Pelodiscus sinensis: one gene and its partners. The protein of the gene in region 2 purifies or fractionates together with the protein of the main gene of each other region. This does not show direct contact. Links are inferred from orthologs where the notes say so. Each region holds a gene or a part of one and is shown on either strand. Other genes may lie near its edges. The genes, in order: CLK2, PNN and NCBP3.

The links.
Region 1: the proteins of PNN (region 2) and CLK2 purify together in Homo sapiens (affinity purification with mass spectrometry; 3 studies listed by BioGRID and IntAct, counting the BioPlex papers as one, with this or other methods). This does not show direct contact. The link is inferred for Pelodiscus sinensis from reciprocal best matches to the Homo sapiens genes PNN and CLK2.
Region 3: the proteins of PNN (region 2) and NCBP3 purify together in Homo sapiens (co-immunoprecipitation; 3 studies listed by BioGRID and IntAct, counting the BioPlex papers as one, with this or other methods). This does not show direct contact. The link is inferred for Pelodiscus sinensis from reciprocal best matches to the Homo sapiens genes PNN and NCBP3.

The regions. Positions count from the first base shown.
Region 1 is NC_134734.1:22,346,026-22,349,769, reverse strand, and holds the start of CLK2 (dual specificity protein kinase CLK2), read right to left. Parts: upstream 2,371-3,744; 5' UTR 2,180-2,370; intron 1,409-2,179; exon of another isoform or gene 1-1,408. UniProt on the Homo sapiens protein: Dual specificity kinase acting on both serine/threonine and tyrosine-containing substrates. Phosphorylates serine- and arginine-rich (SR) proteins of the spliceosomal complex.
Region 2 is NC_134714.1:45,293,361-45,297,104, forward strand, and holds the start of PNN (pinin), read right to left. Parts: upstream 2,853-3,744; 5' UTR 2,690-2,852; coding exon 2,577-2,689; intron 1,823-2,576; coding exon 1,751-1,822; intron 1,401-1,750; coding exon 1,335-1,400; intron 1-1,334. UniProt on the Homo sapiens protein: Transcriptional activator binding to the E-box 1 core sequence of the E-cadherin promoter gene; the core-binding sequence is 5'CAGGTG-3'. Capable of reversing CTBP1-mediated transcription repression.
Region 3 is NC_134731.1:14,841,465-14,845,208, reverse strand, and holds the start of NCBP3 (nuclear cap-binding protein subunit 3), read right to left. Parts: upstream 2,573-3,744; 5' UTR 2,441-2,572; coding exon 2,294-2,440; intron 1,016-2,293; coding exon 950-1,015; intron 1-949. UniProt on the Homo sapiens protein: Associates with NCBP1/CBP80 to form an alternative cap-binding complex (CBC) which plays a key role in mRNA export. NCBP3 serves as adapter protein linking the capped RNAs (m7GpppG-capped RNA) to NCBP1/CBP80.

The DNA of each region.
Region 1 (3,744 bases), on a different chromosome or scaffold from region 2:
GCGGGGGGTGAAAGGCCTCCATTGGGTTGTGCAGCGACTGAGGCAGAACCTATGCGTTCCAATTCTCAGCCCCCTCTGCTCTAGCCAGACAGCACTCCTTCCCAGAGCCACGAGGGCAGCCCGGCACCCTGGCTCCCACCCTCGTGCTAGTGCCTCTAGATACCTGTGGCTCTGCATTATTCACCAGCAATGTGGTCTCCAGGGAAGAATGTGAAATCAGAGCTCCCCTCACCCTCACGTGACTGATTCATCCCAAGATGCACTAGTGCACCTGGCTCATTTCTTGTACTTGCAACTTCATCTGAAAGCAGGTGCACAGAGACAGAAAATGGTCTGATCAAAGATGTGGCGTCTCCTCCCTATGAGCGACTTACGGCCGGGGGGGCAAACCTAGGCCTCCCTAGGCAACACAACCCTCCCTGCTGGGTAACTTGGACAGCAAACACACTCTTCAGGCTCTGAAGCCAGGAGAACATTAAAGGCTGCCACACCTATTCCGTGGACCAAAGAGACATTTCTGGTCTTTAATGAGAAATCCACATTTCTGAGCTTCGTGCTGGCAGCTTTTCAGATGCCAGGAAAGCAGGACAGTCGCACTACTCCGCCCTCGTAACCCAGAGCATGGTGTCTGTGGAGCAGCGGTACCGCTCAGGAAGCTGGCAACAGCCAGGAGAAGCTATAAAGAGGGTGCCTCTGAGCAAGGTGCTTCTCGCAGGGACCACTGCCGATTCTGAGCCAGCACGTCTCAGTCTGACTCAGTCCAGTTATAAAAGCCAGCAAAGAGACTAAAATGGAAACGGCAGCTATCGCTGGAGGGACCCTTGTTGCCAGCAATCAGCACCGCCACCCTGAGCATTCGTACTGGGCTTCCTAAACACCACTGAATTAATCCCGACACTCCAGCAGACAGGGAATGTCACAATGCCCATCTACAGACAGAGAAACTGAGGCACGGCAAGAGGAAGGTGATTGCCAAGGGCACAAAACAAGTGAGAGGCTAGAACTACAGCCCCACAATCCCGGCTGTCAGACCTCTGCTCAGATCCCAGCCCTGAGGCCTGCTCCCAGGCAGTACTGAGCTATCCTCAGCACCCCCGGTCCTGGAAGCTCTTGGCCCTGGCTCAGGCTGCAGAGTGACCCCGAGCCTAGGAACACTGAGCAGCCAGCATGGAGATAAACCTGCTGGGTGTGTGTGTGGGAGTGCACGCAGACCAGCATCGGAACGCCGTGTTTTCAGCCCTGGCAGTCAGGATGCTGACGTGGGGACCCAGCACCTGCTCCCCACCAGCGAGCCCCCTGCACAGGCGCCTGCTCCTGGCTGGGGACAGCAGACACCAAAGCAACCACTGCTAGAGGCAGCCACCGTGCCCCCCACCGCCAAGGCCCCCTGAGGCTGCCCAGCCCACCCCGCCCTACCCCCCCACTGCCCCACCCCCTCCCACACCCCAGGCTGCCTGGTCCCTCCCCACTGCCTGGAGCCCATCCCGCCCTATCCCCCACTGCCTGACCCCCCCAACCAACTCCAGGCTGCACGACCCCCCCCACCCCAGGTTTCCAGGCCCAGCCACTGCACGACCCCCCCCACCCCAGGTTTCCAGGCCCAGCCACTGCACGACCCCCCCCACCCCAGGTTTCCAGGCCCAGCCACTGCACGACCCCCCCCACCCCAGGTTTCCAGGCCCAGCCACTGCACGACCCCCCCCACCCCAGGTTTCCAGGCCCCTCCCCCACTGCACGACCCCCCCACCCCAGGTTTCCAGGCCCCTCCCCCACTGCACGACCCCCCCGCCCCAGGTTTCCAGGCCCCTCCCCCAATGCACGACCCCCCCGCCCCAGGTTTCCAGCCCCTCCCCCAATGCACGACCCCCCCGCCCCAGGTTTCCAGGCCCCTCCCCAATGCACGACCCCCCCGCCCCAGGTTTCCAGCCCCTCCCCCACTGCACGACCCCCCCGCCCCAGGTTTCCAGGCCCCTCCCCAATGCACGACCCCCCCGCCCCAGGTTTCCAGCCCCTCCCCCAATGCACGACCCCCCCTACCCCAGGTTTCCAGGCCCCTCCCCAATGCACGACCCCCCCGCCCCAGGTTTCCAGGCCCCTCCCCAATGCACGACCCCCCCTCCCCAGGTTTCCAGCCCCTCCCCCACTGCCTGCCCCCCGCGAGCCCAGGCCCGGCCCGCACCCTCCGCGCAGCCAGCCCGGTGCGCTTGTCCCACAGGAAGTCCGTGTTGGCGGCCGTGGGCCCCCGGGGATCCGGGCCCCGCTGCGGCTCCTCGGGCTCCGCTCCCTCCGGGTCCGGGTCCGGGGCCTAGCGACCAGGCCCCGCGCGCGCGCTCCCGACTCCGCCGCGGCGGGGACGCGCGCGCACAGCGATAGCCACCAAGCCCCGCCCCCTCTGCCGCGCGGCCTCAGTGACGCAACCGCATCACGTCACAGGCGGCTCCGCCCCACGGGACACGTGATTGAGCTCCCTTCCGGAAGCGGGGCCGCGCCTGTCGCTCCCCAGCGGCAGCGCCGGGCCCCGCCCCCCACGTGTTCCCAGCCCCGCCCCCCCGCCATGACCTATAGCCCCCCAACCCAGCCCTCCCGCTCCCCACGTGTCTCCATCCCTCCATCTCCTACAGCCCCCCCGGCTCCCCTCGTGTCCCCCCCCACGTGTCTCCATCCCTCCATCTCCTACAGCCCCCCCGGCTCCCCTCGTGTCCCCCCCCACGTGTCTCCATCCCTCCATCTCCTACAGCCCCCCCGGCTCCCCTCGTGTCCCCCCCCACGTGTCTCCATCCCTCCATCTCCTACAGCCCCCCCGGCTCCCCTCGTGTCCCCCCCCCCACGTGTCTCCCATCCCTCCATCTCCTACAGCCCCCCCGGCTCCCCTCGTGTCCCCCCCCCACGTGTCTCCATCCCTCCATCTCCTACAGCCCCCCCCGGCTCCCCTCGTGTCCCCCTCCCTCCGCGTCCCTGCAGCCCCCCCACGTGTCTCCCATCCCTCCATCTCCTACAGCCCCCCCCAGCTCCCCTCGTGTCCCCCCCCACGTGTCTCCATCCCTCCATCTCCTACAGCCCCCCCCAGCTCCCCTCGTGTCCCCCCCCCCACGTGTCTCCATCCCTCCATCTCCTACAGCCCCCCCGGCTCCCCTCGTGTCCCCCCCCCCACGTGTCTCCATCCCTCCATCTCCTACAGCCCCCCCCGGCTCCCCTCGTGTCCCCCTCCCTCCGCGTCCCTGCAGCCCCCCCACGTGTCTCCCATCCCTCCATCTCCTACAGCCCCCCCCAGCTCCCCTCGTGTCCCCCCCCCCACGTGTCTCCATCCCTCCATCTCCTACAGCCCCCCCCGGCTCCCCTCGTGTCCCCCTCCCTCCGCGCCCCTGCAGCCCCCCCACGTGTCTCCCATCCCTCCATCTCCTACAGCCCCCCCCGGCTCCCTCCGTGTCCCTGCAGCCCCCCCACGTGTCTCCCATCCCTCCATCTCCTACAGCCCCCCCCGGCTCCCTCCGCGTCCCTGCAGCCCCCCCACGTGTCTCCCATCCCTCCATCTCCTACAGCCCCCCCAGGCTCCCCTCGTGTCCCCCTCCCTCCGCGTCCCTGCAGCCCCCCCCCACGTGTCTCCCATCCCTCCATCTCCTACAGCCCCCCGCTCCCCTCGTGTCTCTACAGCCCCTCAGCTCCCCCCGTGTCCCTCCCTCTACGCTCCCCCACATCCCTGCAGCCCCCACACATCTCCCATCCCTCCATCTCCTACAGCCCTCT
Region 2 (3,744 bases):
AAAAATAGAGAATGCTCCCATGCAACTGGAGTTTAGATATGTACTCTACACATTCACACTTTTGAGCTGCACTACTGGTGTAGTTCCAGTGGCCAAATGGTTCACTGGAAGGCTGTTAAGAGGCAAGTAATTGGCTAATCGTGTAGTAGACAATTTTTATCGACTTCATGATTAGTTGATAAGGGAAGGTGCTGAGTCCCAGCTCATGTCGGGTCCAGGAGCTACTCCCGCTGTGGCTCTGCAGTTAAATTTCGTAGGAGCTGGGCATGCAGGTAGTCCAGCCCCTACTACATTTAAACTGAAGAGCTACAGTGGGTATCGTAGACACAGGTGAGCCAGGACTGAGCTGGGCTACCTACCTGGCTGTACCAGCCCCTATCAGAGGTAACAGCATGGGGTGGCAGGTAAGAGCTAGTCTGCAAGGGGAACCCTGTGCACAAGGAGCCTGGGCTCACTGCAGAAAGGGGTGGCTGCTGCTGCAGCAGCAGCAGGTTCTCCTGCTGCTCTGCCTCTGACAGAGGCAGCAAGCGGGGCAGCCAGGAGGGTCCACAGAGCCAGTGCTCAGGGGGAGCTGGCTTTTGAAGACTAGCTCCTGCCTCTGCCTCCACTCACTGGCTCTGTAAGATGCATCAGGAAAGATAAGCAGACGGGTCCACAGAGCTGACTCCTCACCCATATTGACTCCTGCCTGACCCCAACCCCTCCACACCGTTGGCTCTCTATCAGAGGCAACAGCACAGAAGTGCAGGTCATTGGTTCCCGTTCCCCAGCCCACTGCCTCTGATACAGAGGCAGCAAGGGGGGACAATGTGTGCAGGCTTATTGGTTAATCGTGTAGTCATCTACACATTGACATTCCTAATAGCCATTTAAACTATAGGCAATCCAGCTATCCATTGACACCCCCCAATAATCAGCAGTTGATATTAACAATCAGGTGTTTTAGATTTCGGCATCAACTCCTCATTGAGCGAAGGGAATGATTTATACTCAGATATTACTTCAGAACTATTGAACGGTAAGTTACCACTCAAATTCTACATCTGATTGCATTTCTTCAGAATTATTACATTTTATAGCGAGGAGGAGACAGAGACAAGATTTTATCAGAACTGATATGAACATGTTAAAACATGGATAGGGAGCTATATCCTTACTGATGCAGGAGGGATCATCCAAAAACAGTGACAAAAGCTTTAGCTTTGGAATTAGTAATCTTTAAGAAAGTAGTTATAAAGCCACCAGACTAACAGTTACCAGTTCTGACAATTTAAATGTGTTAAAACATGATGACCTTTCACTCGAGTAAAGTTTTTGTTCACCTTTATACTTACCTACTGGTTGCCCCTTCAAGATCCCTCTGTTTGGCTGGGGGTCCTCCGCTATCCGAGAATCCACGCCTAAAAAACAGAAGACTTAATACATGAAGTAAAACAAATAAGTAGCTGTCAGAGAGACCTGGACACTGGAACTGCAGAGTTTCCAATGCTGGTCTGCCGTTGACTCAAATGTGATCCTGGGTAAGTTAAACTTCCTGTCTATGTGGGTAATGCTTCCCTACCTCACTGAAAACAATCATCATAATAATTATATTTTAGTAACAGTCAAGTTATATAGCATTCTCCATTGCCTATATTAGTGGCATGAAGTACACAATAACCCTGTAATACTGACCCTACAAAACCTGATGGAAAAGTAACATTTAATAATTTGGCGATGGCTGAGAACCACAAAATAAACAGTTTCTTACCTCAGCAATATGCTACCACGCCCTCTACCTCCACCAGGGCCTGTGATGGTCAATAATCTACCTTGAGCGGGCCTGGAAGAAATGTACTAAGTGTTAGAATGCGGGCAGAGTAAGCAAATATGCTCTCTCTGGAGACCTGCATGGTCTCACATACCAGACATTGACTAACAGAGGGAAAACCTCACATGTCAAGAGAATAAACTTTGCTTGTAAAAACCTTGCTGGGGAAAAGCAGCACATACCCTTGGCAAGTGCACAGAGAAGGGATTGCTAGATATGTTTTCTAGCACTATATTTAAATTCCCAATCTTGGTGTACGCAGATGAGAAAAATAAGGGACTGTTGGCAACCCAATGACCTCCCCAACTCAGTTCCCCCTCCCTCCCGGCTGGATCACGCCTGACAGGCAACAGAAGGGAGACTCTGTGTGTCCCTCTCAGACACGTTACCAACTGACTGTGCGGGCAAACCACGCCGCGGCGGCTGCCTCCGATCAGCGCCCAGCCCAGCAACCTCAGTGGAACAGCACGGAAAGCGGTGGCGAGCAGCCGGCCGCGGGGCGGGCAAAAGAAGTCTCCCGCGCTCCTCCGCCGGAACTAGGGGCCCGAGCAGAAAAGAAGGAGCGCCGGGCCGCGGCGCCCCAAACCCCGCAGGCCGCACCCAGTCGACAGGACTCGGACCCTCAGAAGCACGTTTGCTTCCAGAGTCAGTGACGCGCTGCTCCTCCGCTCCGAGAGAAAAGGAACCCGCAAGGCTCGTCCGGTCCGGCCCGCCCTCGTCCGCAGGGCGCGCGCCCAGCCCCAGCCCCGGCCTCGCCTCGCCTCACCTCACATCGTTGGGGTCCCGGCCCGTGAGCTTGCGGATATTCTCATCCACGTGCTTGAGGCTCTCCTTGGCCTTTTCCAGCTGCTCCTGCAGCGCGCGCACAGCCACCGCCATCCCGCCAGCAGCGCGGCCTAGCCAAGGGCCTAGCGCAAAGCACCGCTGGGTAACGGAGCGAGATGCCCCGCCCACAAACTACTCGATCCGCCCTACAACCCGCCAGTCACAATGCTCGGAACCAGAGTGACACCAATAGGAAATCGCCGACCGTCCAGGTGCGCCAATCACCATGTCTCGACCAGAAGCGACGACGCCTACAGCCTAGCCGCGTGCGACGCATCTGCCAATTAGAGAGCCCATGTCGGAGTGACAAATCGCCAGCCCCATCACCAGTCTTCCCTGCTTGCCATATCTGCGAATCACCGAAGGGACAAACAAAATGACATAGATCCCAGCCAACCAGCACCGTTTCCTTTCTTCCTATCAACCAATCAGAAGCAGAGTAATACTGTCCATCTCCACCCACTCCGAACTCTCTCAACTTTCCCGCCCCACCCCACGCCGAGGCCCTTCAGAGGCCATGAGGCATAACTAACAGAAGCGGGGAGTAGCCAATCAGCTCTTACTTTCTTACAACTCAACCAATGCAAAAGCATGTTGTTTGGGAACAAGAAAAGAGCGATTCCGCGCAAGGCCTGGCGTTTAGCCAATCAGCTCACGTGCTGGTGTCTTCTTTTTTTCCCCCTTCTACTCATGTAGCCGGCCCGGGATCGCCTCTCCTGAGGGGAAGCCGCCCTGGCTGCTCGTTTTGCGGGGCAAGATGAGCTGCCTGCTTGGCGCTGTTATTCTGCCTTTCCCATTGCAGCGCGGTGTCTCCCCTGCTGCGCATTCCCCTTCGCTGCAGTGGGAAAGAACCGAGCTTAGTGCCCTGCCGCCCGCAGCCTGCCCCGCTCCGGGGTGCGCCCGCGCTGCCGCGACCCTTCGTCCTCCGCATGATTGTAGGGCCAGGTCCTCGGGGCAATTCTGTGTCTCTTCTAGTTCTGCCGATCGTGCGGAGAGCTCCAAGCTGAAGTCCAGCTCGCTGCCCAGGTTTTTATCGCTCGCAATGAGCCGAGTAGCCAAGTCTCTCTGTTCTGGCTTTAAAATTCCTATGGAATGGAGGTGACTGTTCC
Region 3 (3,744 bases), on a different chromosome or scaffold from region 2:
GGGTTAATAATTAAATCACAGTGCTTTAATAACACTAGGGGGCTGCATCCACTGCTAGCTACACTAGCCAACCTCCCTCTTGCAGCGAGTAGGCAATCCTGGCTTTTTCCCCAGCTACTGGGGAGGGCTGGGGTGCAGCCATGCCGGGCTGGGCCCCTCCTCTGTTCCCCACTGCCATGCCAACCTCGGGCCCTTTCTCTCCCCCACCCTCGGTTGTGCCAGCTGCGCCAGGCCCAGACCTGCCCATGGCCCCTGGCAAAGGCTGGCCAGTGGCGCACCAGGCTAGACTTAGCCATACCCTCAGCCCCCAGGGAAGGCTGGGCCGTAGTGCCCTCTGCAAAGGCTGGGCTGCAGTGTGACAGCCCAGTCCCAGACCTGCTCTTGATCCCAGGTGAAGGCCAGGCCATGGCGTGCCAGGTCAGGCCCACACCAGTCCCTGGAGTCCAGGAAAGGCCAGGCTGCAGCACGCCAGGCCAACTCTCCATGTGGCCACTGGAGAGAGCTGGGCTGGCGGTGGGTGGAGCTTGACACCAGAGATGGGGCCCAGAGTGGAAGGGGTGGAGTGTGCCTACTCACCCTGTGGAAGCTGTGATGTGATGACATCAGTTTGTCATAAACTCACAGAATCATAGAGCTGGAAGAGACCTCAGGAGGTCATCAAGTCCAGCCCCCTGCCTAAGGCAGGACCAATCCCACAGGAATTTTATATATATATATATATATATATATATATATATATATATATAGAGAGAGAGAGAGAGAGAGAGAGAGAGAGAGAGAGAGAGAGAGAGAGAGAGAGAGAGAGAGAGAACTGCTGCAGAAGACACATTAAAAAGCTAATCACTGGTCTAAGTGAATCTAAAAATGACCATTTCTCCGAAATTCCTGAAGACTAACAGTGCTTCCCATCAGACAACAGTACTGAAGAAAACCCACAACACAATAATACCTTGGAGGTGACATCTATTCCTGTGATGAAACTTCCAGCTTTGTTTTCATACCTTCTACTAGTGTCCTGAAACAAAGCAGAATTGTGATGATGGCAAAATACAATAAATCAGTTAGACTGATAAAATCTCATCTGGCAAACAGTTCTAAAATAAAACCATTTCTTTCTACTTTCTCTGAACTCAGAGGCTTTGTCTGCACTTGTAAGTTTAAAGTGAAGCTGTGGCAATGGGGTTACAGCACCATCAATGGGAGAGCTCTCCTACCACTGTAAGTAAGCTATTCCCCTCATAGAGGTGGTTAACAGAATGTGGAGAGCATGGCTCCCTGCACTGGGAGTCTGTTTATAATGGCACTTTACAGCGCTGTTAATGGCTGCGCTTGGGGGTGTTTTTTCACATCCCTGCCTAAGAAAGTTAAAGTGCAGTAAAGTAACAGTATAGACAAGATCTAAGCTCCATTATCTTCTTGACCAAGATGTGTACAACACTGACTAAGCCTTTGTCTATAATACTGACCCCCTGAAATCAATCCACAAGCCATTGATTTAGTGTGTACAGTTTAGACCTGTCAAATAGACTGCAGTCTGCCATCGACTTCTCTACTCTAATGTGGACGAGAAAAGTAAGGAAAGTCAATGGAAGAGTTTCTTCATTGACCCCCAGCACTGCAGACTTGCTACACTTGTGAGAGAGGTGTGTTTTTTCACACCCCAGACAGAAAGTCTATACTGTGCCAATGCAGAATGAGCCTAACTTCCATGTCTTCCAATTGAAAAAAATCTTTTATCACCAAATTATTTTAAGATACCAGACTCTAAAAATGACAATGTACCAGGCTCTTATCAAGTCCCCTTTAGAACAAGAGACCATTCATCTGCACTTTTGTATTAAACAGAAAGTCACTTGTAAGCCTCTTCGCACCTTTGAGTCTAGTCCCATTTCCCCAAATAGCCCTGCCTTTGTTTCGTGAAATCGCCCGATTAATGTCACAAGAGCGACGTGCAGGGCGAAGGGGGGGGGGGGGGGAATAAAACAGGGTTTCCGCTGTCATCAGTTAGCGCTGGGGAGTTCACAAGCCCGCAGCAAAGCGGGTCCAGTCTCTGCCAGGCGATAACCCAGTGTCACCCCCCCGCCCCAGTGACCGTTTCCCTTAGCGCTGAGACTCAGCGTCCCCCCTGGAAGAAAACCCGGGGCTCCCCCCCCCCCGCTCAGCCTCAGACTGAGGGGTCGCTGTGGCTTCCCCTTTAGTACCTCGGTCCCGGGCTGCCTGCCCCGCCTCTCGCACCGACCCCCCCCCCCCGCCCGCTTCCCGCGCCCGGCCCCCTCCCCCATTGTCCCCGCACCGGGACGAGCTCCCGCAGCGAGCGCCGCACGGGGACGGTCTCCAGCTCGCCCTCCTCCACCTCCATGGGCTCGGGCTCGGGGCCGCGGGGCTGCTCCGCCTCCGCCTCCGCCTTCACCGAGATCCGCAGGCCCCGCACGGCCGCCATCGCTCCGCCAAGCCGGCCCACACGCCCTCAGGCCGCGACCAGAGAGAGGGGCCCGCCGGATGGACGGAGCGCCGCGCCTCCCAGCCGGCCTGCGTTACCACAGAGACGCGGGCTGGCGGACAGCGCGCCGCCGCCGCCACGACCATAGAGACGGCGGCAAGAGCGCTCTTCATGCCATAGAGACAGGGAGGGAGCGCGACCAGCTCGGTCCTCCAGTGGCATAGAGTACAGAGGAGAGGCTAGAGCGGCCAGTTGCCTGTGTGGAGTCTGGTTCTGCCTACAGTCGAAAATCCTACAGCCTTGAGCCTGAGCAGCCCTCCCGCCCCACAATTCCTCCGGGCAGGTCACCTGCAGCCCTGGGGGGAGGGGGAGCACAATACAGTGCAGCTCACAAGGGCATCACAACATTGTGTCATGGCAGCATTGTGCACATTTCACGAGAGATAGGGTTACCATATTCCAACTTTCCAAAAGGCGGCACTCTTGAGAGGGAGTGTATCTGTATCAGTATCTACCAACTCACGTTGTACACTGTATCGGTGTTTCTCAACCTTTTTTTTTTTATAAAGTACCCCTTTTCCAAAAACATAAATAAATAAATTTTAAGTACCCCCAGTACCTATAGTTTTCAGACACACACATTTTTTTCTACCATTTTGCAACACATTTGTTTAAACAACTTAATAGTAGCCAGGTGGGTGATGAAATTTTGGCGTGTAAAAAGTACAAAAATAATAAAACGCTGTAAAACTTAAAACAAAAATTCAGTTTTCTCCAATTTTAGTTGTGTTGATGTACCCTCCAGAGTTCTCTCAACCACTGGCTGAGAAACACTGTACTATATAACACATTAATATGTGAGTTGGTAGATACTGATCCAGATACACTCCGGCTACGTCTAGATTGCATCCCTTTTCCGTAAAAGGGATGCAAATTAGATGTATCGCAATTGCTAATGAAGCGGGGATTTAAATCTCACCTGCTTCATTAGCATAAAAATGGCTGCCCCTTTTCTTCGGCACGGAACTTTGCTGGAAAAAAGCACCAGTCTAGACGCAGATCTTTCGGAAAATAAAGCCTTTTCCGAAAGATCCTTTATCCCTTATTTTAAGAGGGATAAGGGATCTTTCGGAAAAGGCTTTATTTTCCGAAAGACCTGCGTCTAGACTGGCGCTTTTTTCCGGCAAAGCTCCGTGCCGAAAAAAAGCGGCAGCCATTTTTATGCTAATGAAGCAGGGGAGATTTAAATCCCCGCTTCATTAGTAATTGCGATATGTCGAATTTGCATCCCTTTTACGAAAAAG